Linked DNA regions of Lonchura striata. The protein of the gene in region 4 interacts with the protein of the main gene of each other region in a pairwise test. Links are inferred from orthologs where the notes say so. Each region holds a gene or a part of one and is shown on either strand. Other genes may lie near its edges.

Region 1 (7,186 bases), on a different chromosome or scaffold from region 4:
CAGGACTTTGGAGACACAGGGAGTCAGCAAAGGTCATGAAGTACTGTACTTAATAAACTACCCCATATAAAATAACACTTAATAGACAAAATATGGTTTTCTAATAGTCACAGAACTTACATTTTAATTCAGAGGTGACCAAAACAACGAATTATTTATTCTTTCAGGATTTCAATATATTAAATCTGAACTGTTTCCAGCTCTTCCTCGGTGTTTCAATATTCCAGTTTACACACTCTAACTCTTCAGCACATCTCCTACCTTTTGCAACACTCTGCTTGTCTGTGTGATCATCTGAAAGGCACAGGATTTTGCTGTGGCTGCCTTCCAAGCAGCAGCAATCATTTGGACCACAATATCAAGCAAGCAACTTGCTGGACTACATGTCACAAAAATAATAAAGCATTCTAACATGCTGCAGCAAGCAGTACACACCAAACAAAATTTTCCAACCCCAGGAATAACAAATGTCACTCTCGGTAGCATTGCTTTCAGGCCCTGGAATTACAGTACAAAATGCACTCTCAACACCCCAAGTTTTCACCCTGTCAGGTCAAGATAAAACTTTGCAAAGATTGAAAACAAGGCACAGTCCTTATTTAAACCACTAAAAACAAAGAGTCCCACTCCTGGTGGTAAAGGGAAGGAGCAAGGACCCACAGACGTGGATTTAACCACGTACAGCAAGAGGACCACGAGAACAATGACAGAGAAAGAAAGTAGCAACCAGCTCTGGAGGGCACAGGGCATAATGACGCTACTTCCAGAAAACCCCTGCAAGTTACTTCTGTTATTTCCTCAACCCCGACAGGCACTTGGATAAAATCAGGATTAGATTTGGACTTCCACTCTATGAAAAATAAGAAACTGTTATCTTAGTGTTCCTTTATGCACCTGGTGATTTTCGAGAAATCTACACCCATACTTAGTCAATTGCACATAAAATCTCAGCTTCTGAAAAAAACAGTAAACGAACAAACCCTACAAACAAGCCCAAACATCCGCACCCCCCTTCCACTCGCGTAAGTTAAGAAGAAAGAAAACGTGATTTCTATGAGTCTCAAAAGTCTGATGGAAACCAAAGACCTGAATTTTTTTTCTGTCTTCTTAAGATTTTTAGGCCAATTACATGGTTTTGGGGAACTGACTCACGAGGAGTTTGCTGGGCTGGTTTTAATCTTCGAGGTTAGGTCTAGTCATGCTGAAATACGGGTACTTGTATAGTTACAAAGATTTTGATCTAACATATATTCAAAGTCCATTTCTGGACCAAACCACGTAATTCTCCAAACTTAACAGCAAAACTACCTTAAGAAAATACAAATAAAATTCTAATTGTTACTTAACTGGAACTCCAGCAGGGAAGTCTGATACTTTTTCTGCTAAACACAAGGAAAAATTGTGCAAGTTTCTTAAACTATTTGAAAGGACTAATTAGCAAGGGGCACACAGCACTTTCACACTGTTTTTATGTCCTTTTTCCACCATATTTTCAGTTTTTCAAGTAAACTGTTGCATCCAACATCGAGGAGAGCTACTACATAAGCCATGTTCTTTGAAATGCTTGACTCAGTAGGCTGAAACAGATCTGAATGGTAGAATTCAACCATGTGTGAGAATTCGGTTGTGCCTTTTCACCAGAACCCAGCTAGAATCTTGGTAAAATGAAATGTGCAGCTTTAACGTACAACAGCTTAAGAACTCATCCTTACAGATTCTGAAATTCAGAATTACAGAACTCATTCAAAGATGACTCTGAGCCTCCAAATACTGAACCTCACTTCACACCGTGCATGACTATTACTTGCGCACACGTAATGCAGGAAAGGCTGGTCTCCCGAGTAAACTCGTTTTTGTTTTTTTTCCCTTATGTTTTAAGAGGCTTTCATCACTCGGTTTTCTCCCTCTAGAGCAGAGACCCTGCTGTGGGCGCAGGTAAAACCGTATCCAGAAATGCATTTCCCATCCCGAAGCTCCAGTACACCCCATCTGCGCGCTGCCGCAAGACACAGCCTTGAAGAACCCCGAAAGCACTATCTGAGAAAAATCCGCAGCTTCCGAGCCAAGAGGCCCCGGAGGAAGCCGAGGAGGAGGCAGCGCCCGGCGGGGTCGCTCGGGGCTCTCGGGGAGCGGCGGCGATGGCCGGGGCGCGCCCCCTCCTCCGCGGCCAGGGCCGGGCAACCGGGGAGGCCCGAGGAGCATGGGCGGGGGTCCGGCACAAGTTGGCCGGAGAAACCTGTGGCTGCCGTGACAGCCCCGCGGCCGGGAGCGGGGCGGCGCCCGGGCAGCGGGGGCTGCCGAGGCGGAGACGCGGCCGGCCACTGACCTGTCCTCCGAGTCCATGCGGCTGAGGGGCTCCCCGTCCGAGGACATCTCCAGGCTGCCCCGCCGGCCCCCCGACGTGGCGCTGCCGCAGCTGCTGCCGCCGCCCGTGCCGGGGCCGGTGCCGTATCCCTCGTCGCCGCCGCTGGACACGCTGCTGGAGCTGCTGCCGCCCCCGCCGCGGCCCGGCCCGTCCTCCTGGCTGCCCCGGGGGCCCTTGGGCTCCTCCTTGGCGTCGGCCTCGCTGCCGCCGCCGGGGCTCGGCGAGCGGGTCTCGTCGCTGCAGCAGCCACTGCTCGTGCTGCTGCTGCTGCCCACCAGGCTGCTCTCCTCCTCCTCACCGCCCTCCTCCTCCTCCTCTTCCTCCTCCTCGTCCTCGTCCTCCCCGTCCCCGGCCTGGCTGGCGCTCTCCGGGCTCGGCTCCGACATGCTCTCCGCCTCGCCGTTCAGCAGGAGCAGCGGCTCCGGCTCCGCCGCGGCCGAAGGCGGTGCCGGCGGCGGCGACGACGAGGAGGATCCAGCCCCACCGGCGGCCTCCACCTCCGCCGCCGCCGCCGCCACCTCCGCCTCCTCCTCCTCCTCGGCGGGCGCCGCCTGCCCGGGAAGGCGCCGCTGGGGCTCCGCCATGTCGCTGCAGCGAGCGGCCGCCATGGCGCCTGCGAGTCGCTGCCGCGCGCGCGGGGCCGGCCGCGGGCGTGCGCGCGGCGGGGGCGTGCGCGCGCGGCCCCGTGCGCGCCCGCGCGCCCGCCGCACGCTCCCGCCGCCGCTTCCTCCCCCCCTCCTTCCTTCGCCCTCCTCGCGCACCCGCACCGCCGGGGAGGGGCGGGGCCCGGCTCGTGCCGCCGCCGCCGCACGCGCTACGGAGCGCGCCGGGGGACAAACAACGCGCGGAGGGCGGAGCGGCGGCGGCCACCGCCGCCCCCGGTGCGAAGGGGCGGTGGCGGGCGCGCTGCGGGATCCCGTCTGGAGTCTGCCGGGGATGCCAGCGTGAATCCCCCAGGGATCCCCGCTGGAGTCTGCCGGGAATCCCGTTCGAAACCCCCGGGCATCCCGGCGACTTGCTGGAATGGCGCGATCCCAGTCCCCGGACTCCATGGACAGCGGGGGAGTGCCGCGGGACGGGCCGGGAGCCGGGAGCGAAGCGCTCGCGGTTGCCCCGCCTCGCTCCGGGACAAACCCCGGCGCTAGCAGCAGCACCCCAGAGCCGGGCAGGGACATTCCCGGCTGGCGCTGCAGAAGGAGCGGAGCCGGAGCAGGGTGGCCGCGGCGGAGGGCGGGGCGGCAGCGATCCGGTGGCACCGGGCACTGCGGGCCCCTCACGGGCACTGCGGGCCCCTCACGGGCACTGCGGGCCCCTCACGGGCACTGCGGGTCCCCTCACGGGCACTGCGGGTCCCCTCACGGGCACTGCGGGTCCCCTCACGGTCTCCGCGGGGGTAAGCGGGACACGGAGCGCCCGGAACGGGGGAGCCGAGGTTCCTCGGGAAGAGCTGCGGCGCGCTGAGGAGCCAGCCGGGCAGGAGTGCCCCGGCACGGCTCGGCAGAGCCAGGAAGGAGACGGGGAAAGGGTTTCAGCGCCACTGGCAGAAAGGAGTGGGAAACACCGCGCTGTGCAGCGAGAATGAACCAGAACTGGCCTGAAACCTCCCTTGGCAGGGAAAAGGCTTCCCGGCTCCCGGGGAGAAGCTGTGTGACCAAAGGGGACTCTGAAGTATCACAAGATGGTTTGGATTGGAAGGATCTTCTCATTCCAAAGCCCTGCCCAGGGACACCTTCCACCAGACCAGGTTGTTCAGAGCCCCTTCCAACCTCACCTTGGACACTTCCAGGGATGGGGCTTCTCTGGGCAACCTCTGCTAGGACCTCACCATCCTCACACAGCAGAATTTCTCCCTAATACCCAATCTAAACCTATGGATGTATAAAACGGGAAAGGGGAAATCTCAGCAGGATGACTGTCAATCACACAGAGGGCTTCAGAACAGTTTGAAAATTAAGGTCATTTAATGATCATGTAAAATGGGATCAAGTTTACTATAAAGTATAAAGTACATAGGATGGGGATTGGCAGTAGAGCAGAAAGGTAGAATCTGAACACAGAGATATAATCAGGTAGTTTGACAAGTTATTGGAGAGATGAGAATCTCTCATACCAATATTACCAATATCTCTCACACCTATTCAATCACAGGTAAATTAGCCAAAGGTAATAAAATTCTGTTCCATGTGAATTTTAAATATCTTGCGTCTGTCAGTCCTTACCCAATGCTTACAGAGCTTGCCACATTTAACACAAAAATCATGAAGCCGTGGTCGTTAAGTTTAAAAACAAAGACCCACAGCTCAGTCCAGAAAAGCATTGTGCCTTCTGCACATGAGGAAGATCACCAGCTCAAGTTACAGCAGGCACACCTGGCATGGCCACAGAGATCCTGGATTCCAGGAGAGTTAACTGCGTAGGATTAAAATCTGGAGAAGGTGCTCTGAAAACCTGCATTTACATAGATGGAGATGGCTCCCAGCCCATCAACAGATGTAGCTGTGAGCAGCAACAAGAACAAGCTGTGGTGTAGCAGCCAAAAGAGAGAGGCACAGCACTGAAACAGCAACAGGGGGTTGGGGACTCAACACTGGATTAATCTTTGAAAACAAACCAAGAACATATTTTGCCTGCAGAGGAGCATAAGCAAATTTTGGAAACCAACCACAATGAAAAAGTGATGATAATTCCTCAGATTTCTAGAAGTCAACCTCAGCTAGAAAGTGGAAATACTAAGAATGTTTAAAAAAAAACAAAAACAAAAAAAAAAAACCACGGCGGGGGGGAGACAAAAGCAACAGCTGCAATGCTGTTTCTCATCTGTGTAAGATGTGTATTGCAGGTCTCCTAACTGCAGCAAAATAGCCACCAAACCCTGAGTTTCTGCACCCTGTTCTGCCTTTCCTCCGGGTAACAGCGTGTGCTGTGCTTTGCTCTCCGCGGAGGAAGGCGTGGGGCTCCGGGTGGGTGTTGCAGTTACTCACTGGTCTAATCAAACACGGAGCGTGACGTTTCAAAAACACCCCAGCCTCTGATTCAGCCCAGAAACGGCAGTAGCTGAAATAATTCTTATGTCTCTAGTACCGCTGATGCCCTTCTGCAGTTCTGTGCTGCAGCAAGGGACAGAATCAGGGAGGTATCGAGTCATGAGAAACCAAAAATATATCAAGGACTTCGTAAAAGACGCCTTTCACAAACGATGAATATGAGATAAAGGGGAGAAAAGTTATCACAACTCCATGTACCCTAATGTCAATCGTCCTGATCGGCTCCGCTGAGTGCTCAAGGCAATCAATGTCTTTTTTTTTTCCTTCCCTCCCAGGTCTCTCTGGGTTTCCTGAGGTGCTGTGTGCACGCAAAGGCTCCCTGTGTTTGGCACTGAAAGCGAGCAGGGTGATTCGACCTACCACTTTCCGCTCTCCTAAGCGGGGCGGTACAGACGCCAGCTCGTTAGGTAATTTGTGTATTCAAAGAGGGTCAGGGAAGGAAACCTCGGGACATTTCTATTGCCTGATGGAAATCACTTGGCATTTAAGCAAGCGCTCAGTACCAACGGGGTCACTGCTGCAGCAGGCAGGCATCAAAGAAAAACTCCGTAGTAATCTCTCAGTATCCTGCTCTCAGGTTTTCAAACACACAAAATTCTGCGTCCAGGTCGTCTCTTGAGTGCTGCAATAAAGTCCTAATCAAGTGCAAGCAGCAGTGATTATTGCTCACTGAGCTTTCTCGGTACAAACCCACACAGCTTACCAAAGCTAGATTTCTTTTTTTCCCCCCAAGGTTTTTTGACTTTTCAAACCTCTTGAAAGAGATCTGTCAGAGAACAGGTGATTCCACAACTTGCAAAAGCAGCTAAATCATTTACATTTGAATGCTGTGATAAAAGCTCAAAGGAGGAGACTCCTGTTAGGAAATCCTTTGGAGAAAAAACCACATCATTCACTTGGGTGGATGTTACACTGTCGTTCACACAAAGGGTCTCTGATGTGCTCAGTCTAGCTTGGTATGATCACCTTACAACGGTGCTTTAAAGCTCAGACATTTGTGCCTGACATTTGAGGAATCAACAAAGTACAAAATAATAAAATACATTTTTAAAAGCCGGCAGATAAACCAGGAGAAGCTTGTTCGCAGGCAAAAGATTCCAAGCAGGACGATTAGTTCAAGAACAAACAACTTGTAGACACAGCAGAGCAGGGAGAAGAAATGAAGATTTTATTCTCTTACCTCAGGAGCACCAGGGTGCAGGGCATTCACACTGACAGCGGGATCAGTAACAAAAACACTCCAGAGAAGTAGTTTCTTCTTTTCTTGATTCACAGCAATCTTGCTGTTTTGTGAGGTTTTCTTGAAGGACACTTAGGTGAGATCACCAGAAGATGTATGTAAGGCAGGTTTCTTGAGGTTTTTTTCCCTAACTTTGATCAGCATTATAGTACTATGTCATAGAGTATGCAAGAAAAACACTTCAAAACAGCAAGAAAGGCCTATATAGAGAGAAGAAAAATTAAATAGACCTGAGGTACAGGAAAGGTGCCATCCAGTCTTACACTTGCTAGGATACCAGGAGAGATTCTGTAAAGCCCAGCATTTGCTCCCTGAGCTCCCTTCTCCAACCCCTGCCTCCCCATGCACCTCTTAAGCGGTGCAGGAAATTCCTGCTGCCTGCACCTCATGACTCACCTTGCTCAGTATTCTGCCTACTCAGCAGCCTCTGGAAACTGCACCCTTCCCTCCTTTCTGCCCCACCCTTCTCCATCCCAGTTCAAGGTCTGGAGGAAGAGGCTGCCATCTGTCATTGCTTCCAGTGAGCAGTGCTGGGTT
Region 2 (7,522 bases), on a different chromosome or scaffold from region 4:
GAGCTGTGCTTCCCTATAGAAGGGAAGATGCCAACTTAGTTATGTGCACAAATCAAATAAAAGCTTGTTACAAGCTTACAGATTTAGATTTAATTAATTTCTTGCAGACTAGCAAACTTGTGTTCTTATGAGACTGAAGTCAGAGGAGAGAGGAGAGGAACAGCACCTTTCATTTTGGTGTTTGCTTACTTAAAGTGTACCTTCAAAAACCCACCACACTGAACTGGCCCATCTATATCTAGTCTCCAAATCCTTTACATCTTCTTGGAAATAAGTTTTTATTATTTCAGGGATGTTTATGTCCCTCTGTACACTACCAAAAAAGTGTGTTTGAACAGCATTGGAAACCACCAGTGCTGTAGGAGCACTGCAAGACCCTTGCTGGGACAGGCAGACAGGCACCTCTTGAGGAAGTCTAAATTCTTCAAGTGCAGAGGGGCTGGTTTTAAATGAAATACAAAAGTAACCTGCTGGGTTTCTATCCAAGAAAAGACAGAAAGATCTCAGGGAGTGTGAGAGATTAAAATCAAAACTAAGGAAATCAAAAAGCCATACCCTTTTTGACTTTCCAGAGACCTTATTCTGAAGTCTGCTACAGTTTGCACTGATTTGGTAATTAATGTTTTTAATTGTTTTCCCACTTTGAAGAAGAGGGTGGGCTTCTGCTAAGGTGATGACACAGATTCTGAAAAAAAAAAAAACAACAGAACACCACAATTATTCCACTGTAGTTGTAAGCCACAGCTTTGTGCTCTAAGCAAGTCCCACAACCTTCTCTGCCTATCTTACTTGACACCTGCCCTACCAAACTGAACAAAAATGGCATTCTGTCCTAAAGCCACTCCCATGGAAAATGTTTCATTTTGAGATACTGGACTGGACTGTCAAAAGCCCTACACTTCTTACTGAAACAAAACCACTGCTTTTAAATAAGCCAGTGCTGTAAGCCATCTGTTATACCCCATGAGAGCATGGTTGGTTCATTTCAGCCAGTAGCTGAAGTAGGTACTTGGGATAAGACAAGAAAAGCATGGTGTACTTCTGTCACAAAATGTAACAGAAAACAGGGTTTCTCAACAGCTAAAAGCCCTTTGTGGTGAACAGCTGAGTAATCTTTCCATGACCTGGGCCTTAGTTAACTTGCTGCTTGCACTTAATTTTTTATTAAAGGAGGTTATTTCTTACCATGACATGGGACAGTTTGAGATGAGCCCAGCTGAAGAGACTAGGCCTGCCTGGCCTAGAACCATGCCTAATGCACAAGCATGAACTTGCCAGTAAATTAAGAGAGTGGAAGCTCTTCTGTTTGAGAGTATAAAACCTACAGGAAGCACCAGAATCAAAAGAAGAGTGACTGCAGAGAAAACCAGGGCACAGAACCAGATCGCTCCCTGTGGATGCTGTATCCATCTCCTCACACTCCTGGGGAGTTCTGGCTGCAGAGCTCCCACAAGAGGGAGCTGGATCCTGGAGAACGTATCCAGCATGTCCTAGCAGCAAAGCTACTTCCTTCACCCCAGCCTCCTTCTAAGAGGAAGATGACAAATTATCTTTGAGCTGTCACCTGATGAAGCTGAGACCTCGTAAAACAAAACATCAAGAGACAACTTCACACTGCCTAGGAACAGCAAACAGAGCCACAGCCCCACACATAATAATGGTAAAATACTTTACAGAACTGGCTAAGCTGCTGTGGAACCCAAGGGTCCTGATATTTCAGAATTCAAAGTAGCAGAACAGTCTTCACAGACAATTGAACAAATCAGTGGGATTTAAACTACTGTTTATACCAGACACCCGAGATTAGTAACCTTATATTTAGTATTCAGTACAAATGGAAGGATGTCCTACCTTGCTGTTACTGTCACACCTGTTATTTGAAGGTACACTAATTTCCCTTTTGGAAGAACTGAGGAAGAACTGCAGGAAACAGCCACAGAGAAGCTCCAACTCCAAAGGCTGCAGTGAGGTGATGGTTCTGCCCTGTGCCACGCATACCTTCCTTTTACTCTAAATTCCTAGAGCCGGCAACTCACTGGGAACACAAATACTGCCTCACCTTTCCTCAACCCATGAGCCACTGGCCCTGCTAGTTTTTGCATGGACAGTAGTTAGGTTCTGTTCTCTCTGAGACTGAGCACTCCAGAAATGCACCCGATGCCCTAATGGGCTGCAGCAGGGGGAGGTAAGGTATGGAAGGAGATTCCACATCAGGTACAGGTTGATTTACTCATATTTACTGATATCCAGCTACATCCAAGCAAAAGCAAGACACTTTTCCTATCTTGCCTTCACTGTCGGTTACTGCACAAGAAAAAGCAATTAAGTTTTATCTAGAAAAAGATGAACGTTTGTTCAAACTGAAGGATTTCTAAATCAAGTTAAACAGACTCCTTCAAAATGTCATTAGGGAAAGGCCTTTTGGAACGTTTCTCTTCTGCTACTGATGATCACAGAATCAATTAGGTTAGAAAAGTCCAGCCGACGACCGAACACCACCGTGCCAAGTACAGCACGGCACTGAGCACCACGTCCAGTGTTTCCATGAACACCCCCAGGGATGGTGTACGGGGCCCTTTCGCAGGAGGGAGCAAGGGAGCGAGGGCAGCACCGCGGACACTGCTGGGCAGTACGGGGGGTGTGGGGGCCGGCGGGGGGAAGAGGCCAAGGCTCCTGCTTCTCACTGGAGCAGTAATGAAAGGACGGGGAGGCCGATTTGCCCGGTGCTGTGTCCCAGGCCAACCCTCTCGTGTCCCGGCTGCCGCAGCCACCGCGGCTCTCTCCGGGCGCAGCCCGACTCGGCAGCCGCCGCCACTCGCCTGTTGGAGTGCTGCAGCACGCAGAAGTCCTCGCACGGCCGCCCCTTCACGTCTGCAAGAAGGGCACAGAGAGGAGTCAGGGCCCCGCCGCCACCCCGGCCCGGCCCGGCCCGGCCCGGCGGTACCTGGCTTGTACCAGCGGGTGAAGTACCGCTCGGCGCCGCCCGGCCCCGCAGCCATGCCCGGCCCGGCGCCGCCCGCCCCGGCGCGCCAAGATGACGGCGGGGGCGGCCCCGGCGGCGCCCGCCCCGCCCCGGCAGCGGCGGCCCCGCCCCGGCGGCGCCCGCCCCGCCCCGGCGGCGCCCGGCCCGCCCCGCCCCGGCGGCGCCCGGCCCGCCCCGGCAGCGCCCGCCCCGCCCCGCCCCGACGGCGCCCGGCCCGCCCCGCCCCGGCGGCGCCCGCCCCGCCCCGCCCCGGCGGCGCCCGGCAGCGCCCGGCCCCGCCCCGCCCCGCCCCGGCAGCGGCGGCCCCGCCCCGGCAGCGCCCGGCCCGCCCCGGCGGCGCCCGCCCCGCCCCGCCCCGGCGGCGCCCGCCCCGCCCCGCCCCGGCGGCGCCCGGCCCGCCCCGCCCCGGCAGCGCCCGCCCCGCCCCGGCGGCGCCCGCCCCGCCCCGGCAGCGCCCGCCCCGCCCCGGCGGCGCCCGGCCCGCCCCGCCCCGGCGGCGCCCGCCCCGCCCCGCACGGGAAACCCTGAGCAGAGCAGTTCGACCTCTTGGCACTACCTGGTTTTGTTCTTCTTTCTTTTCTCTCGAGGCTCTTACATATTTCACCGTACCTGCATCACTGAGAAAAACGCTCAGACGCCGGCGGCTTGGTTCAGTGGTTTATTTTCTCTAGCACACAGCAATACAGTAACAGCTACAGCAACCATATAGACACACACCAAAAACGTACTTTAAATTAAAAAAAACCCAAACAACCAAGAAAAACAATCCACATTCCATTAAAACATCTTTTTGTTTTCTGCTCATGGAAAACAGAACGACCCTGTTTTTCCACAGAGATTTTAACTGCAGTGGTGTCTCAGTTCAGGCAGCAGGAGAGCCTCCGTGAATTCTCTTCCAGCCTTTGAATTCACAGCCTGGGCTGTGCTTTATATAAACATAAAAGAGCTGTATTCCCACAACACACATGGCATCACATTTAGGCACAAAGGATGCACAGAAACTGTACCAGCACCTGATCCCCACAGGCCAGGCAGGGGAGAACCTGGAGAACCTCCACACCTTTGACTCCTGCTGCCCAAAGTAACACGACACCTCTTCTGTACAAATACAGGCCAAAACCATTAGAAGAATATGTTACAGAAAAAAACCCAAACCAAGATTGATTCCAGCATTGTTTGCCTATTCTGTTTACCCGCATCTAGCACAAGCAATAAGGCAGCTGTAACAGCATAAAAATTAAGGTCTGTACCATTATTAAGCTACAGATGGATACACAGACACTTGCATTTAGTATCCAGTGTAGCCAAGCACATTAAAAACTGCTGCAGAAAAATATGCACATAAAAATAAAGGGCTACTTAGAGGCTCTGCCCCACCAGTTTGCCAAACCTTGAGTATTTCCAACAACAGTAGTTTGCAACAGACGCATACTCTACTTTGTAAGGCCAACAAAGACAAACAACAACAAAACCAACCAACTCAAAACACAAAAAAATAATAACCTACATTTTATCATCCTGCTGATACAAAACTACATCAAGTTTTAGTCTGCCACCTTCTCAGTTATCAGTTTGGACAGCTGCCTGTCATGGATGTTTCTCCATCAATGATTAAAGAACAATGCATGGGTGACATATGCTTGTGTATAGGGTAGAGACATTAATGCCCACATGCTCTAAAAGCAAATAATTATTTTGATTCTTAAATTAGCAATGGGTTTTGATATGTGGATATTTTAATGTCAGTCAAGTACATCAAACGCCAGCTAAGAATCCACTGGAAACACTGAAATTTGTAGATTTTTCTCCATCATTTAGTCATTAATCATAAAATCTCTAGAACAGTAGGTTACCTGCACACTTCCTGTGACATATCCAGATAAGAGAAATCCAGCTGAACTGGCAGCTATTATGGCTGTAGGCTAACAGAAACCAACAGTGAAAAATTCAAAGCAAACTGAGCTCGTTCAAGTCTGAAATCCCCCAGGACAACAGATTTCTGTAGCAGCCAGGATTGCAGTGCAGAAAGTGGATGAAGTGCACTGTATTTATGGAGTTTTCCCACACCACAGGTAAACACCATGCCTAAGCCCTAAAAAGCCCGCTAGGACACAGGGATGCATTTGGAGAGCTGAAGGAAGTACACCTTTCTCAAGCCCTAGCTTCAAAGGAGGCACAGAACAGGATTTCATCACTGTGAGCAGAAAAGTAAGTATCAATCTTGCTAACCTGAGGAAAGACTGAAGGAGGAGGAAAAGGTAATAGTCCATTGGCTGCAAAAATTCATGTGGTACTGATTTCTCAACTCTTAAAAGACCCTAAAACCTCTCAATTAATTGAAAATATCTATTTCTGAGGTGACAGAATGGTTCTTGGCTTTCATTGTATGAGAGACCAACAAACTGTTTTAGCCTGTCATACACAGTATTATCAAACATTTCTCTTGTTGTTTAAGTTTTTTATTCAGCTGATGATTTGGAGCAGTGGATCAGAAATAGGTTCTAATCGTTTTATTTCTGGGATTTTTAAAGCTAGCTAGTAAGATAGCATAATTCTGTTATTTATTCACCATTAAACAACTTTGACATGTTCACCTTCCCTGCAAATGCAGAATTTATTTTGCCATTGGTTTTTTCAACCTTCCTCCTTCAGTGACATTCAGGATGGTTAAACATATTAAGACTGTAGGCTTAAACTACATACTTAAGTATACACTTATTATCTTTAACACCTTGCTTCTCTAGACATGCTACCAAAGAAATTTCCTTATTTTGGATTTCTCGGCTTTAGTTCCTGCAAAAAATATTGCACAGGTTTGTGTGCAATCACACTGAACTAGAAGTAGGCAGCTCTCCCACTCAGCTCACTTTCCCGAAGTAAATCAACACTTTACTTCAGGAAGCTTTTGTAGGAAATGACTGTTTATCTCAGCCTGTAGCACTCCTCCCCCTTGATATCAAAGAGGCTTTAATACACCTTTGTCACTTCAGGCAGTGTAAGTGGGATACAGCACTGCTTTTAAAGTCTTTTTGATGGAATTCACATATCTTAAAGCTTTAGCAATTTAGGAGCTGGACTTTTGTTACGGATTTGAGAAACCAGTGAAGAGCAACTCCTTTTAGAATGGATGAAACAAGTGAAACATATGATGTAACACTTGGTTTTACATCAATTAGTTTGGCGCAGAAACCAACTGGAATATGACATAGGAATCCACAAGCTACTGAGAGAACCAGCACCACCACAAAGGACAGAATGAACTTATCTGCCATCCCGGATACACCAGCTGGATGCAGAAGAGACGAGTTTTTACCAATAAACACATGCTAACCATTATATGTCTTGTTCTTGTTTTACTTTGCTCACTGTGTTTTGTATCCACTGATTTTAATTGTGCTAAAATAAAAACCACTGTTGTTTTACCTCTTTAAACCAGCAAAACCACTGAAGTCAAAAACATCACTTATAATTACATACAGTAAATAAATTCAGTAAAAAAACAAACCTAAACCCCCAAACAATAGACAATAAAAATAATACAGATTTGGCCATGTTTTACTAAGTACCACTTTTCAAGTACCATAAGCAATGCTAAATCCCAAGTAGAAAAAACACAATTAAAAACAAACAAAACCCCAACAAACCCCAAACTTTACGGTATTCCTTTCTATCAGGCAAGAAGGGAGGGAAGTACACAACAACAAAGCACACCAACAAAAATATCTAGCCTATATCAAATGTACCTTTCCAATAAGGAAATTTGTAGAAAAAAAAACCCCTACCACTTATAATTTAACACCAAGGTGTCTTCCTGGCAACCAGGATTACAAATTTATGCTGAATACAATCTTATGTTCAAATACTGAGATAAGCAGCATTATCCCAAAACCCAGGAGAATCCCAGCATTCTGTAACAGGAAGTATCCCCACCGGCTACATCCATGGTCACTGGCATCATTGTGGAGCATTTCAGGTACCTAAAAAAACAAAAAGGTGTTAAATGCCTTCAAAAGAAACAGTTGCTTCAAATCATTAATTCTTAAGCTGTGTCTTACAAAATTCAAATAGGTCTAGGCACTTACCATATCCACAAGAGCCACATACATGAACAAGCCAGCAGTAAGTGCAAATATCCACATTGAAACGTTGTCTGCATAATGGCCAATAAGGATCCCAGTGGCCATACCAAGATAGGCCAGCATAGCTGACAGAGCGTTATAAAGCACAGCTTGCTTCACAGTCATACCAGCTTTTAGAAGGACAGCAAAATCTCCTGTAACAGGGGAAAAAAGAAACAAAATGAAGTTTTCATTCTTGGGTAAGTACTGCAGTGTTGTCTTATTTACAGTTCTCTTACTTACAGGATTACTAAACTACTTTTATGCTGTTGTTTGACTTATTTTTTTTTCCTTCATAAAATCAGAAATCACTGAGGGACAGAAACTTAAAGGGTGCACATGAACAACACAGCAGCAGATACTGTAAGTTTGTAACATTTAAGTCTTTGCATTTTTGAAAGAAGAAGCTTTTTGCTGAATC
Region 3 (6,917 bases), on a different chromosome or scaffold from region 4:
TCCCGCTTCTTCTCCCACCATCCACGCACGTGGTCATACCAGGATCCGTAGGGCACTGTGGGATATGGTCAAGGGATTAGCTGAAAAGAGGGGTAGCGGGGGATGTCCTTCCCACTGGCATGGCAGGGTGGGCATGCTGTGGCTCAGCTCACACCTTTGCCGGCCATGAAGTTCTCCAAGAACTCAGCCTTTGTGCCAGGGTCGTGGTGTATCTTGGCCATCTGGTGGAAGTAGTAGTACGAGATGACAACATCCTTGGGGTTGCGGGCCATGTAGATAATCTGGAGAGAGCCAAGGATGTGTTTGGGAGGTACAGAGTAGTGCCTCCTTCCCACCAACCCAGATGGGGAGACAGGGAGCACCTGCCATGTTACCTTGCAGTCCTTCTCCCAGAAGGAGGTTGGGAGGAGCTGGACTGGGAGATGGGTCTTTACCAGCCGCGGGGATGGGGTGTTCTCCAGCTGATCAACACCTGTGGCACAGGGGACTTAGATGTTTGAGCCCCAGCACCCGCACCCTCATGCTGGCTCAGTTCCCTCTCTACCCAAGCCAGGCAGCCAGGCTGGGGAAGCTCACCACACAGACTCTTGGAGACCTTCAACTCCAAGAAGGGCACACGGTTGTAGATGGCATCCCGTCGGCACTTCTCCACATCGCCATTGTGGTAGATCATGTCCATGATCTCGCTCAGCCACGTTGTGCCTGCCACAGAGGGACAGCATTGCAGAGGCTGGTGTCACCCCATGCCCCTGGCACCCTTCCCCAGGACCACTCACCTGATTTGGGGTAAGTGGAGATGAGCAGGTCATCTGGACGTGCTTGGAAAGCCTTCACCTGAGGCCAGCCCTCGATGAAGCTCTTGTAGAGGGGAATGCCATGAAGGCTTCCCAGCTCCTGCCTGATTGCATCTTCCTGCTCCATGGCTGACAGTGGGTCTACACAGCACTGGCTGTCTTCCCTGCTGGTAGCCTTCACAACCTCTGAACTGGCTGGCACCTGTGCCAGGACTGTGCCTGGAGTAGTACTGGATCCTGTGCCAAGACTGTGCTTGGGGCAGTGCCCCATCAGGCGAAGTCCAGCCCAAATCACATGTGACAGAGGTATTGCCAGAGCCACGGGAGTGTGCCCTGATCCCTGGTAGGATACTTTGGTAATGTGGATGCTGGCTATGCACCAAGCCCAAGCCATGAGGGGCTGGGAATGGAGCCCAGCATCACCTCTCCTCCCACATGGCTGAACTTCTCCCCCAGCTATAGCCCCTTTAATGAGTGCCACGGGGTTGTGGAGGTACAGAGACAGCTCTTCCACCCAGGGCCCCCATTGCAGGCAGCCATACCTCTCAGGATTCCATGTGCTCTGGTGGCCATGAGCCCTGGCACCTCCACCCTCCTGCCACACCCAAGCTGTAAAGGTTAATGAGAGATGGCTCAGCTACGGAGCACAGCTATGGACCTGGCTGAGGGTGCTGCTAGCAAGGGTAGCCCCCCTCTCTGCCCTCCTGAGTGCTCCTTTGATGCCTCTTGTAGGAAAGGGATGAATAAGCTGATCTGCTCCATCCTGGATGATCTGATCCAGCAGGTTGTACAGTACAGGAACCCACCATGATGGAGCAGGTGCTGCTTTTGCTCCAGGAGATCGAGGAGAAGCAGAAGCCAAGTGGTGCCTGGCCCAGGCAGATGGGGTCTCTGGGAAAGGAGGCACCAGTGCGGGACAGAGCATCTGGACCATCTGCAGAAATACAGACTCACTACTCTGGCCTTCTGTATCCAATGAGGAAGATGGAAGAGAGTAAACGTGTCTGTTACCCTGACAAAAAAATACATGCAACATTTTCATCTGATGATGAGGAAATAACATCATGATCTTTACTTAAAATTGAAATACAGATGATGGACAGGGTTGGCAAACTGCTACCAAAACGGTGCTATATATGGTGGCCAAAGTTCCAGGAAAAGTCTGGCAGACTTACATGGGATGGAAACATACAGGGCAATCCCCAAAACAGAGAACTGGGAAAAGATGATTCTTTACCTCCTTCAACTTCCCCTGAATCTGCTAGACCTCATGGTGGAGAGGACAATCACACACAAGTAACTATCCCATTTGATCCAATTCAGGTGGTTGATTTGCAAGAGAATTTTGGCCATAAACTAGGTGATACTGAAATCCAGCAACTGGAATCCTATCAGTGCAGATACAATAATGGCTCATACATTCAGATTCCAGCTGACTCTCATCAACAATTAATTGCTAGCACCATTGAAATGCTCCAGGATAACATCTCTTTGGCTCTTGGTTGTATTCAAGCTAGTTGTGGGTGACAGCTGCCATCACATGGGAAGGTGAAGACAGTGCTCCCTTCCCCTTAAGGGTGGGATGCCACAGTGGGCTGCAATGCCCCCACAGCTCCAGCACACAGTGAGATCCCCCGACACAGCCAGAAACCTATCATGGCTGAAGCCCCGTGCCCAGCACCCCTCCTCAAGTGCTCCAGCTTTACAAGTGCAGTTACAAGGGAAAGCACTTTGGGGTCTGGACCTGTGACAGGTGGATTTATGGGGATGGCTATTAGCTCTCCCATTATGCTGTTTGGGGGATAAATGGATCAAAACCCTGCTCTTAGCTGGCTCATTGCTCTTTATTCCTGAACTATGTTTCTCATCCATCCCAGTGGGGCTTGGTGACCATCTCAGATCCCTCCCTTGTTTCTCATCCCTCAAAAATATCTGGGGGTGGTAGGCAGGAATGCTATCTGTAGCCCAGCGGGATGCTTTGATAACCAGCTCTCAGTCCACTGCCCGGAGGAAACGTTCATTGAGAAAAAGGATCTGCCCATGGGGCAGGACACGGTCCAGGAGGCCATCAGCGGCATCTGGACGGAGCAGGACATCAGCGCCAGGGCCAAGGAGGCGCAGGGAGAGGAGCAGGCGGGGAGCCAGGCGCCGCAGGGTGATCTCAGCCAACGACAGATTCTCCTGAGGTTCACAAACCAAGGCGAAGGCAAGGGCCAGCACCGATAACCAGACTACTGTCACCCGCTCAGGGAATGGGTCTCCAGGGGGCATCTGGAAAAGACCCCCTGGAGCATCTTGGAGTGACATCGGCTCATCGGGTAGCTGGGGAAGTTGTGGGGAGGACGGGCGCTCCAAGGATGACTGAAGCAGTTGACACTGGGAGGCCACTTGCCTGGAAGAGAAACGGGGGACCCTCGTGTTAAGGACCCCCACCTCATCCCGGGACAGTGACCTCTCTGTTGGGGGAACAGTGTCCCAGGATCCCCAGAAAGGGAGGATCCCATGAATGGGGGAGTGGGGGGCATGGTCCTGGGGTTCTCGCCGAGCCCTGTCCCCCGAAAGGGGGGCTGCCACACGCTCTCCTCAGGAATGGAAGGTGTCCCACAGTCAAGAGGTGTCCCAGCCCTGGGGCCAGGCAAAGCCCAAGAGCCCGCCCATCAAACAAAGGGCGTATCACGGCTGCGGGGATCCCAGGGACACGGACGGCACACGGTGGCGGTGTCGCACCGCGCCCAGCCACCCCGGAAGGAGATTCCCGCGGGGGGGATGTCCCGGCGTACCTGGCCACGGCCAGCGGCTGCTGCTTGCGGCGGAGGCGCTGCGGGGCCGCGGGGCCGGTGCCGGCGGGTCCCGAAGGAGCGCGCGGACAGCACGCGGCAGGGGGCGGGGCCACCGGCGCCAGCGGCGCCAGGCGCGCACCGTGGCGGCCCCGCGCGCCGGAAGCGGCGGCGCCGCCTCGGACGGAGCGGCCCTGGCGGCGGGGCGGGGCACCGGGGCGGGGTGCGGGCCGCGCGTCGCGATTGGCCAAGGCTGGCGGGCAGCGAGAGCTGATTGGCGGGCGGAGGGCGGTGGGCGGGGAAAGGGCGCGGGGCTCGGCCGAGGCGGGGGCGCTGCCCCGGCGCGTCCCCCCGGGAGCCGTGGCCTTGTCCCTCCCTGCTCCTGCTCCCGTCCCGGGATGGCTGCGTGCGAGATGGGCTGGACACGCCTGGGGGAGGACGTGTGGCCCCCGGTGGCTCAGGGTGATATGGCCAGGGCCAGCATGGAAAGGTGCTTGTCTGGAGTGGGGCATACGGAGAAGTGTGACTGGCACAGGGGACATGGAAGCGCCTGTGGCCAGAGGGCCGTGGAGTGGGACATGTTTGGGTGGAGACGTGAGACTCTTCCATGAGACCTTTCCAGCCATGGAAAACTTGTTTTCTGCCTCAAGTGATTTCAGCGGTAAAAATGTTTTTTGACAAATTCCTTATGGCTGTGGCTGGTTAATCCATGGGTTGAAGGTGGGGGTGGGAGGGTGTTTCTGCCATGTTCGGGGCATGTTTGGGAATGTGATATCCCAGCTATGGTGTCATATTCAAACTACTGTGTCCTTATTTCAGCTATAATGTTACATTCAAACTACAGTGTCCTTATTCTAGCTCCGGTATCCATGCCAGGCATGGTGTCCGAAAGGAATAAGACAAATGTGTCTTTAGAAACAGACCTCAATCTGCTTGTAGATAGAGCTAGGAACTTACAGATAGGGAAGTAACAGAAGAAACTATTAGTTCTAAAAAATGTTACTAATCAACACGGAATGTTGCTTAGCCAAGGCCATGTTAAATTCCTGAACCTAGAGAAAAGGAACAAAGACTTAATACCTTTACTTCTTTATTTTACATAACAAAAGGGGCCTGCGTATCAGAGGGGGGCATAGAGGAGGCAATTTGGGAAGTCTGTACCTTCCAAGTAACTCAGCCATCGGGAAGGAGGAAGAGGGTGATGCGGCCAGGAACTTAGGACAAAAAGGGGGCTGAGTCCCCCAACAATCTGGGAGACCCGATGGGAAATTGCCATGGGCCTCTCCCTCTATTCAAATAAAGCCACGCGACTCCTCTGTCCCTCTTTTGGACACAAGCCTCTGACATCGTGGATTCACGTTCCTAACGGCGTCCCTCGCGGAGCTGTCTCCCAGGAGTGGGTGTGCAGCGTTGTCCTCTCGCAGCCTTGCTGCAGCGCACGGCCAGAGCCGCGGCTCGCTGCCGCCGCCGGGGCTGCGCTGCTGCGCCGCGCCCGCCAGGCGGCGCCCGGCGCGGGGCAGTGCGCGGCGCGGGCGCGGAGCCTCTGAGGGGCCGCGCCTGCGGAGGAGCTGCGCGGAGCTGGCGGCTGCCGCTCCTTCGGGATTCCAGCTCGGGACAGGCTCTCTTTAGTTTCTGCTGCACCTCATTTGCAGCTCCAGGTGGTTTGTTTCTGTCCCCAGTTGGTCTCAGGTTCAGCTCATAGTATTTGTTCGTGCCTCCAGCATGTTTTAGGCTCCAATTTGGTTCACTTTCCCCGGCTTCTTTCCGGCTTCAGCTTATTTGCAGCTCCCGTTTGTTTCCGTGTTTGGTTGTGGCTCCAGTTCATTTCTGCTCCGGCTCGTTACTGCTTGTGCTTTTTCAAATGATCTTGGTTTTTGACAGGGCCACAAATCAATCACTATCGTAACTTAAATATGAAAAGACATAATTGTACGTTGTCTAAAGATGGACTAAACTTCTTGGACCAATGCAACTGGACCTTCAGCCTCCAGTGGGATTCCCCACAGGTGCCCCAGTACTGGATCCCACTGTCAGGAAAATCCACAAACGACAGAAGTTTATGTCGATACAGGAGAGACAGAGGAGTCCTGCAACTTTATTTGAATAAAGGGAGAGAGGCCCTCACACAAGCTCGCGGGGTTTTCTCGCTCAAGGTTTCGGAGGGCACAGCATCCGTCCTCAACTCCCAGCTGCAGGTTGCCCTCTTCCTTTCTCCATTGGCTGAGGTACTCGGAAGGTACAGCCTTCCCAAACTGCCTACCACATATTCCCCCTTGTACCTACCATTTTTCCCCAAAGTTGAGAAATTGAGGTTTGTACAGACCCACTTGTTTGTTTCAGGAGCTAAGCTGTCTGGTCTCTGCAACAAACCTGCTGCCCAAAGTTAGTACAGACATTAAGACCCGTTTCAAATATGTTAATACCAGTACTGTCACTCATCAAATTGTAAAGACATTAGCTTTCCTCTTACCACCTTGATGAATAATGGGAGTGAAGTTCCAAACAAGGTAAAGAACAAAGTGGTTAAGCAATGAAAGCAACAGTCACAGGAATGTGGAAGAGAGAAAATTTATGACCTAAGTTCTTGAACGGGGAAAACACAGAAAGATAACACTCTTCTAGTCCAGAATGTGTAATGATGAACTAAAAAAATCCCCAGTTTTGACTGGTTCTGTACTGTGAACTTGCCCTAGGGATGAACTTTTGCTCCTTATAATAGTAAAAACCACACCCCAGCTCAGGCATCTCCCCCTACAAAAAGACCACCATGCGCCAGTAACAACTTAAGCCAAGTAGTAACTTAAGTAAGACTTAATAGCCCAAGATTGTGCCTCGGGGTGCTGCCTCTGGGATTTACCACCCAGCACCTGTTTCTGTGCAGAACAGTAAATCAAATTATATGGTTAGAGAAATCTCATTTTTTACACTGACTGAGTTTGGTTGAGTATCTGATCCTGTGAGTTAACCTAGAGAAGCTCTCACCCTTTTCACCACACTGTTAATTCTCTCAGTGATTTTGATACAGGGAGATGATCCAATAAATGTTTGCACATTATTCTAGCAGGGAAGATACATTTTCCTTGAAAATAGAGCCCTGCAGTCTCAGACTGTGTTCAGTGGCTGTTGCTAAATCAAATTATTTTTCCTTCTTGTCATTACCACCCATTCTTACCTGCTACAAGATAACTGCTGCCCCCTCCAGCAATATCAGGGACCTATAGGGCAAGTCAGTTCAGCTATAGGTAATTTCAAAGTAGTTTATGCTGTGGTGACTTCATTGGTTTTGTTCTTTAAGCATTATATGCTAGCCTTACGCAGAATCCAGTACATAAAGGGGCTACAAGAC
Region 4 (7,413 bases):
CAGGCTGGACTCAATCTTGGAGGTCTTTGTCAACCTCAGTGATTCTGTGAACAGTTCATAAACTGCCTTTCCCCCCTTGTTTTTAAACACAGTTCCTTACACACCTAAATAAAATATAAATTCCCATGAATCTGTGTCCCACAGCTGTGTGTGTTCACTGAGATTTCCCCATGTCAGGGTATTAAGGAGCAGATTTTCTTCAGACAGTTTTTCTGATCCCAAGGGTTGAATGGATGGCAAAGCTCTTGCCTCTGATTTAGGACACATGCAGAATATCTTTTTTTCTTGCAATCACCTATTTCCCCAAAAACCCAGGAAATCAGCTTCTTACAAACTCAGCCCCCTGGGAAAACTTGGCTAGAAAATTTGAAAATTACTCGAGTGAGGTGGACAGGGAGACAGAGAAGCCCTGCAGGAACACAATATTTATTTTGGTAAGAAATCTGCCCCAACAACCCCTGCACAGGTGCAGCAGCTCTGGGGCAAGTTCTCACCTGCTTTTTGTCCTGCTAAACACAAACAGGAAACAGGAGGGACTGGGCAGCTCCACCTGAATGGAAGGGTTTGTGTATCCAAATCCCAAAGGCTTTGCAAGCTTAATGAGCCGGTGAGCAGGTGATGTAGGGGGCACTTGAGCATCATTGAGATGCAGCCACCTCCTGTCTGGAGTGACAAACATTTAAATGCTCTGAGGGAGAGCAGAACAGAAAGGTCGGCTTTAAAATGTGGGATTAGAGACAAATGTCTGAGCAGAGCGTGGCCACCTCTGCGGGAGGGTTCCTCTGCTCCGAGGAGGGATTTTGCATCTTCGGTCTCCCAAGTCTGGGCATCTGGCAGCACAGCCACGCTCAGGTGGTCAAACTGGAGCTTTTAACTTCAAGTTTTTGTCAATGAAGATGAAAAATACCGCTTGTTTGGCCGTACACTGCACTAAAAACAGACTAAGTAATTTATCCCTTAAGCTTGTGTTCTATACTTCCCTCTACCAAGTGGAAAAAGGGAGATTAATAATTTCATTTTCTACCTCTGGTCACAATAATGTTAACACAGGACTGCAACTGTCTGGATTAACAACCCTCAAGAAGTCTATTTACATACATTCCTCAAAAACCTGCTTTAAACTCTATTTAAATAGTAAAACTGACTAAGCCTCAAATATTAAATTCAAAATATCACAGAGAGTTTTGCTTTAAATTCACAAAGCCTTAATTATTAAGGAGTTACATTACATTTTGTCTTTTAGTAAAGTTTAAAAAAATATGTAAAGCCAAGCTGCTGAAGGAGTGAGGAATTCACTTGGTTTATTCACAAATGTAACACTCTCATGTGAAATTAAGTTCTCACCAGACCAGAACTTTGACAAATGAAGCTATAAATTGAAGTAAATAGAAAGAAATGAAGGGAAAAATAAGTTCTATTTTTGTAGCTTTTAAACTATTGGTAATTAAAAAAGGCAATGAAATATCACCACTTTTATCAGCAAAATATTTTCTTGCCTTTTTTTGTAATCATGAGTAGTATTACTACCCTGACATCTATGACCTAACTGGAAAATCTTTCTTTTTTCCTTCTTTAAAAGCAGCTAAAGTCATCTCTCTCCGTGGCTGTCTGCTGAGGCAAATGGATTCCTGGGAGTCAATGGATTCTTTCTACCAGATTCAAAGACAGTGACAGAAAAATAAAAAAGGCAATTTGTATTTTCTATACAGCTGTTTGCACAAGTGACATTGCTGGGCCTGCACCCCTGTTAGACTTTTGGATCAGGAATCCAGGAATGGAAGTGTTTGCACAATGTGTGTCTCTATACACATTATAAATGTGATAATTTCCACACAGTTTATACTTGTTACTATTTAAAACAGATCCAGAGCTTTCATATTCCTGACTGGATTAAAATGCAAGTTTTTTATTCCAAGATTTGCTTGCTTCTAGCTTGATTCCCTTATGGCTAAAGGCTGGTGCAGCCAACACACAAAGGTGCCTCATCTCCTAACTCCAAAAGTTAAAAAAAGACACAAAATACGTAAAAGGCATAAATATACCCAGCTCACAGCTTTCCTGGCAGGATTTGCAAATTGGATGAAAGTTTGGCAGTGGGGCAGTGGTTGAGGGGCTGGTTCCAGATGCTCAGGGCCTGGGAGGGGCAGGTTCTCCACACACATCCCATTCCATGTGCATCTCATGGAGAGCAGAGAGATGGTGGCTCAAACTTGCAGCTCCAAAACATTCAGAGTTGTGCAGGTTAAAGGCAGTGCTTGGAACTCCAAGTGAAGCAAACAAATCCTGCAGTGCATTCCTCCAGTATTAGTATCACATGCCAGCTTAAAATCTGGGGGGAAATGAGCACTGAGGATTGCCTGAGTGAAAGCACATTTGAGTTTGTGGGAGTCTGAGGTTTTCACCAGATTCTGAATCAGATCTGCAATCAGAATCCCAGAATGGTTTGGGTTAGAAGGGACCTTGAAGCTCATCTTATCCCAACCCCTCTGCCATGGACAGGGAACATTCCACTAGTCCCTCACCTCTACCCTGTTCTTCCAAATTCAACCCAAATCTATGAGAAAAGAGGATAAAGAGAGGATAAAAAAGAGGACTTGTCTCCTCACAACCCCAAATTCAGACACATCTCCAGAAAAATATAAGGTAAAATACCTTGTCTTATAATTCTCAGTACCTGAATTTAAAAACAATGCTAAAAATGTTGCAATACAGACTCCAGAGTTTGTATTTCCCCTCTCTACCCCTATGCAAGACTCTCAACATTAGAAGAGCTCTCCATTTACAGTGGGGTCTTTAAATAAAGATTTCCCAGTTTGCTTTCTTCCACTGAATTCTATCAGCCTCTACAATCACATCCAGGGGTGCTTGACTTTGCAGTTTTTGTCCCACTGGTAATAGCCATCCCTGCACAGATCCTTATCACACAGGTAAGATTAAGCAGGATCAAACTCCTTGACCACCTGCCTCTGGAATTAATTGTACACACTTCCACGGAGAGTGGTTTCCTAAAGGTCTTAAACCAGAACATTTACTTCTATGAAGCTTTGTTATAACACACTGCTCAGTCTCAAAACCAAGAGACAATCTTAAATTGAGTAATGGTGTCGCTTCAGATTAAATAAATCAAGTGTTGTGCTCAGGTATGTTGAAAACTGCTTGGGTTTTCACCTCCAGACCAAGAAGTGCAGCACATTATGTGTAACTGAAATTCTTCCTGGAAAAAAAATCGGCTCCTGAATCCAAGGTCTCCAAGAATGTGAAACAGCTCAAGAGAGGAGACCAATATCATGGGTCATGTACATTCTGACAGAAGACTGTAATATCAGAACCAAAACCCCTGTCAGAAGCAAGGTGCACCCTTAGCAAAGCTGTTCCAGGCTGATTTTTTTTGTTGTTGTCGTTAGTACCTCCCTGTATTATCACACTGCAGATGGAAAACGTCTTCATCACAAACCACAGGCATTTATTCACGTTCCTCGCAGAGTCCAGCAGAAGCCACACGTGCAAGGGGACAGCTCCGAACCAGACTCATGTTTAAGGCTGGGAAGGCTGAGAAACATTTTCTCCTCCTCTTACTAAGATTTGATCCTATCCAACACCTTAAACTTGGGCAACGCCCCCCCCCCCCCCTTACCCTCCCCACTCAGGGCCGACCCCCGCCTTCCCCCACACCTCAGGGCCGACCCCCGCCCCTCCCTCAGCCCCTCCCCGCCCCACTATCACCCCCTTATCCCTCAGTCCCCCCAACTCCCTCAGCATCTCCTCCCCCACCTTTTCCCTCAGGCCCCACTCCAGCGCCTCAGTTTCCCCTCACGCCCGGCGAGGCTGAGACTGCGCAGCCAGGAGGCGACCGGGGGAGCGCCCCCCCCGCCGCCGGGGGAAGGCCGAGCCCCCTCCCCGCCCTCATGGCCGCCCGCCCCGGGCACTCACCAGCTTCATCGCGTCCACCGGTTCTATTTACCGGGACAACCCTGCCCGCCTTCCTGCCCGCCCGCCCCGCCGGCCCCGGGGCATCATGGGAGTTGTAGTCCCGCCTCCCCATCGTTCTCAGATAACGTCATGGCCGCCCGACGCCTGCTGGGAGTTGTAGTCCGCCCCGAGCGCAGCCCCGCCGCCCCATTGGCGCGCCGCGCGCCCGCGGCTCTCTGGGAGTTGTAGTCCCGGCGCCGCGGGTCTCCCCGTCACCCTGGGGAGGGGGGAACTACAAGTCCCAGGGTCTCACAGCTGCAGCAGGTGGGGGCTCGGATGTTGATATCAACATGGCGCTTGTCAGACAGACAAAGACAGTCGGTCTGGTGTGATTGAGCCAAAAAAAAAAAAAAAAAAGCCCAAAAAAAAAGAGAGGGAGCGGGCGAGGAGGAGGGAGCGGCAGGAGGAGCGCCGGGCGGGGAGGGGGCTGTGTCCTCGGGGGGCGTGGGGGGGCTGAGGGATTTCCTCCCCCCTATTGTTCTCGTCCCTCCGCGCCCCCCGTTAATCTCCCCTCAATCTGGGGCGGGGGCGGGCGGGGGGACCCCCCCAGTTCCGCCGGTCCATGGTGAGGCGGAGGCGCCGGCAGCACCCAGAGGTGAGTGTCGCGGGGGGATACGGGGGGGGAGCGGCGGCGGCGGCGAGGGGAGGGGGCGGGCGGGTGGGTGGGCTGGAGGGAGGCAGGGCAGCGGGAAGGGGTCTCCCCTCCGCCCGCACCGCCGGGAGTCGCGCCGAGCCGGAGAGCGGGATGTGCGTGAGGGGGGCAGCCGGGGGCGGGCAGGGGTGGGCAGGGGCAGCCCCTCAGCACGGGCGGCAGAGTTGGAGCCGCGGCTTTTGGGGGGCTCCGCGGGTGCCCCGGATCGGGGGAGGAGGAGGAGGAGGAGGAAGGTGTCCCCAGGAGGCTGCAGCGGGAGGGCAGGGCGCCTTTGGGGTTCGCTGCTCCTGCCATTTGTATATCTATTCCGATTCCTCCCATCTCCCCGGTGTGGGGCACGGAGTGGCGGCCGCGGAGCCCCCTCAGCCTGGGTGGGTGCTGCGGTTTTGGGGGTGTTTGTTCGGGTGTTGCTCGCCGCGGAGTTTTGGGGTGAGCTGGTGCGACCCCCGGCGCTGTCTGTCCCGGGGACCCCCGGGGACGGCAGGGGAAGGAGGGAGGCTCCGATCGGGGATGGAGCCGGCTACGGAGCCCCCTCGCTCTGCCGGGGAGCTCTGCCCTGGCTGGGGCTGTTCGAGGGCTCCGGGGGCTCCTTTTCGGCTGCTTTTCGGGAGCTTTGTGCCGCTGGAGGTCGGGGAACGGGGCTCAGAGGTGCCCCAAACCCTGCCGTTCCCAGGCTTCGGGAGGTTTTCTGGGAGGGCAAAGGCGTGAAACCCCCGAAAGGTGTCTGTGTGCCGGAGAGTTTAACGTGGGAACGGGTGGGGGAGGAGGAGCACCCGGAGGAAAGTCATTCCCAAAATGTGCGAGGAGAACTTGGGTGGGGTGTCAGACGCTTGTTTGTTTTGTACTTCTTGGGAAGAGGTGGGGAACGGGGGTGGCGGGTGAATGGTTTTGTGTCCCGTGTCCGGGATGGTTTTGGGTCAGCACGGTTTGACCGCAGGAGCGGTCGGGGGGAAGCGGCAGGAAATTCTGCTGGAGTGTTTGCCTCAGCTTCGGGGTTAAAACAAAACAAGATGCGAGTATGTTTAGGTGCCGAATACACACCCGAGCCAGACCCCGCCGAGTTCCTCGACCTCAGTTTTGTCTGATGGGTTCTTTCCTTTCTTTCTTCTTTTTCCTTTCATTTTTTTTTTTTTCCCTAGTTGGTGGAGTGCCTCTTGGTATGTTTGCAGAGCACTCCTTCGGAATCATTTTGTTCTTTGAGATAGGTCTGGAAAAGCCTCGGTTGGACGTGCTGTTTTTTCCCCCAGTTCTTTCGTGTTAGGGACAAAAAAAAAATGCTGTTTGGGGGGTGGGGAAGGAAGAAGGAAGAGGAAATGAAGGTTTAAGCATGTTTGTGGAGTCGGGTCTGTCTCAGTTCAGGTAACTCTGGGAGTGTGATTCGATGGCTTTTAAGTACAAAACGTTTATGAACAAAAAACCGGGGAGATTTAAACTTTGTAGGGAGGAAAGCGTTAAAGTGATGGCCAGGGAACGCGGATCTGGGAGACGCTACTTACGTCCCCTGCTTCTAACTAGTGGAGATAGAGGGAATGAAAAACTAAAACACTGGGGAAAAATACCCCTGCAATTTGTATAAATGATGCCATGTAAAATACCGGAGCTAGGAATTGTGCTCTGCAGACAATTGTTGGGCTGGTGAAAGCCTGAAGTGCCTGCTCTGGTCCCGTGATATGACTCGCTCATTTCTGCAGGGCTCATCAGGTACAGGCTCTGCTTCCTTCCTGGGATGGTGCAGCTGGCATTTGATTTCCTCCGTGGATGGGAAAGGAGGAGTCCTGTGCAGTTTTTTTTTCCCCGAGATGATTGCATTTTCTTTGGCCTTGCTGTACCCTGCCTCATTAGTAGGAACTGCATCTATACTTATTTACCATTATACCGTGTCCCTTGGGAAGCAGGGTGTAGTTTGGAGTAGGTATATATGGATTTATCACTCCTAATATTTTTTTTCCTCCCATCGTGCTAAGACCAAATCCGTCAACAGCAGAGAACAAACTTAATTTATTTCTGTGTTTCGCATCTCCCTTTTTACCATTTCTCTTCCAAATTGCTAAGAAAACATCTCTGAGATGGAGACGGGGGAGAGGGAGGAAAGGGATGGAAAACGTCTGTGCAGGGATGCATTTGTTATTTGCATGTCTGGGAAAGAGCAGGGTTTGTTTCTGTATGTGAAAACTGGGGTTTGGGAATGTTTTTTCCCTTATGTGAGGATTATTCTTTTAGCCCTGTGATGGCCACAACTTTTTCTGTCTGGTTGAAAGAATTACCCGAGGAGCCTGGGAAGGAGGCTGGGAGCAAGGAACTTGTGTTTCACTCCGTGCTGCCTGTTCTTCCTCCCCTCGTTCCCTCAGCACCAGTGCAAGCACCAGAACAGGCATCAGCATTTTTACTCCTGTGTCATCCCACTGTTCCCAGCAGGTCTAGACGACGTTGTGGTATGCAGGCTGCCAGCTGGGTTACAGGAATGCTATCCTAGGTGAAACAGCAGGATTTTTAAGGAGGGGTAAGGAAACCTGGGAGAAAATCTTGTGTGAATGAGGCCTGGTTTTCTCTACAACTGCTTCACTGAGCGGTGTCAAGAAACTCCGTGGGTTTATTGACCTTTCTGGACAACATGCATCTCTCTAGCATTGTGATTCTGATAATTCCATGGAGTCTGTAGCTGCTGTCAGCTGCAGGGAGCTTATTTTTAAGGCAGTTTCTGTGTGGGTCTTACTGATCTCTTACAAAGGGATATTAAAAGTTGATAGCTGTGCAGTGTTTTGAAAATTAAATTATTATAAAGTGTTTACTTT

The links.
Region 1: the proteins of HMBOX1 (region 4) and AEBP2 interact in binary tests that used the Homo sapiens proteins (3 or more experiments, as listed by UniProt). The two-hybrid records come from large-scale screens. The link is inferred for Lonchura striata from reciprocal best matches to the Homo sapiens genes HMBOX1 and AEBP2.
Region 2: the proteins of HMBOX1 (region 4) and ABITRAM interact in binary tests that used the Homo sapiens proteins (3 or more experiments, as listed by UniProt). The two-hybrid records come from large-scale screens. The link is inferred for Lonchura striata from reciprocal best matches to the Homo sapiens genes HMBOX1 and ABITRAM.
Region 3: the proteins of HMBOX1 (region 4) and SH2D4A interact in binary tests that used the Homo sapiens proteins (3 or more experiments, as listed by UniProt). The two-hybrid records come from large-scale screens. The link is inferred for Lonchura striata from reciprocal best matches to the Homo sapiens genes HMBOX1 and SH2D4A.

What each region holds. Positions count from the first base shown.
Region 1 is NC_134607.1:8,163,404-8,170,589, forward strand, and holds the start of AEBP2 (zinc finger protein AEBP2), read right to left. Parts: upstream 3,001-7,186; 5' UTR 2,974-3,000; coding exon 2,327-2,973; intron 1-2,326. UniProt on the Homo sapiens protein: Acts as an accessory subunit for the core Polycomb repressive complex 2 (PRC2), which mediates histone H3K27 (H3K27me3) trimethylation on chromatin leading to transcriptional repression of the affected target gene.
Region 2 is NC_134603.1:61,640,035-61,647,556, reverse strand, and holds the start of ABITRAM (protein Abitram), read right to left. Parts: upstream 3,017-7,522; 5' UTR 3,000-3,016; coding exon 2,945-2,999; intron 2,872-2,944; coding exon 2,820-2,871; intron 686-2,819; coding exon 556-685; intron 1-555. Other genes in the region: SLC39A6 (zinc transporter ZIP6), read right to left, coding at 6,808-6,960, 7,066-7,256. UniProt on the Homo sapiens protein: Actin-binding protein that regulates actin polymerization, filopodia dynamics and increases the branching of proximal dendrites of developing neurons.
Region 3 is NC_134606.1:45,007,633-45,014,549, forward strand, and holds the start of SH2D4A (SH2 domain-containing protein 4A), read left to right. Parts: upstream 1-3,898; 5' UTR 3,899-4,232; intron 4,233-6,917. Other genes in the region: sulfotransferase 1 family member D1, read right to left, coding at 1-55, 155-281, 375-472, 577-702, 777-1,188. UniProt on the Homo sapiens protein: Inhibits estrogen-induced cell proliferation by competing with PLCG for binding to ESR1, blocking the effect of estrogen on PLCG and repressing estrogen-induced proliferation. May play a role in T-cell development and function.
Region 4 is NC_134605.1:111,909,916-111,917,328, reverse strand, and holds the start of HMBOX1 (homeobox-containing protein 1), read left to right. Parts: upstream 1-4,408; 5' UTR 4,409-4,564; intron 4,565-4,640; exon of another isoform or gene 4,641-4,716; intron 4,717-5,936; exon of another isoform or gene 5,937-5,964; intron 5,965-7,413. Other genes in the region: INTS9 (integrator complex subunit 9), read right to left, coding at 3,931-3,939. UniProt on the Homo sapiens protein: Binds directly to 5'-TTAGGG-3' repeats in telomeric DNA. Associates with the telomerase complex at sites of active telomere processing and positively regulates telomere elongation.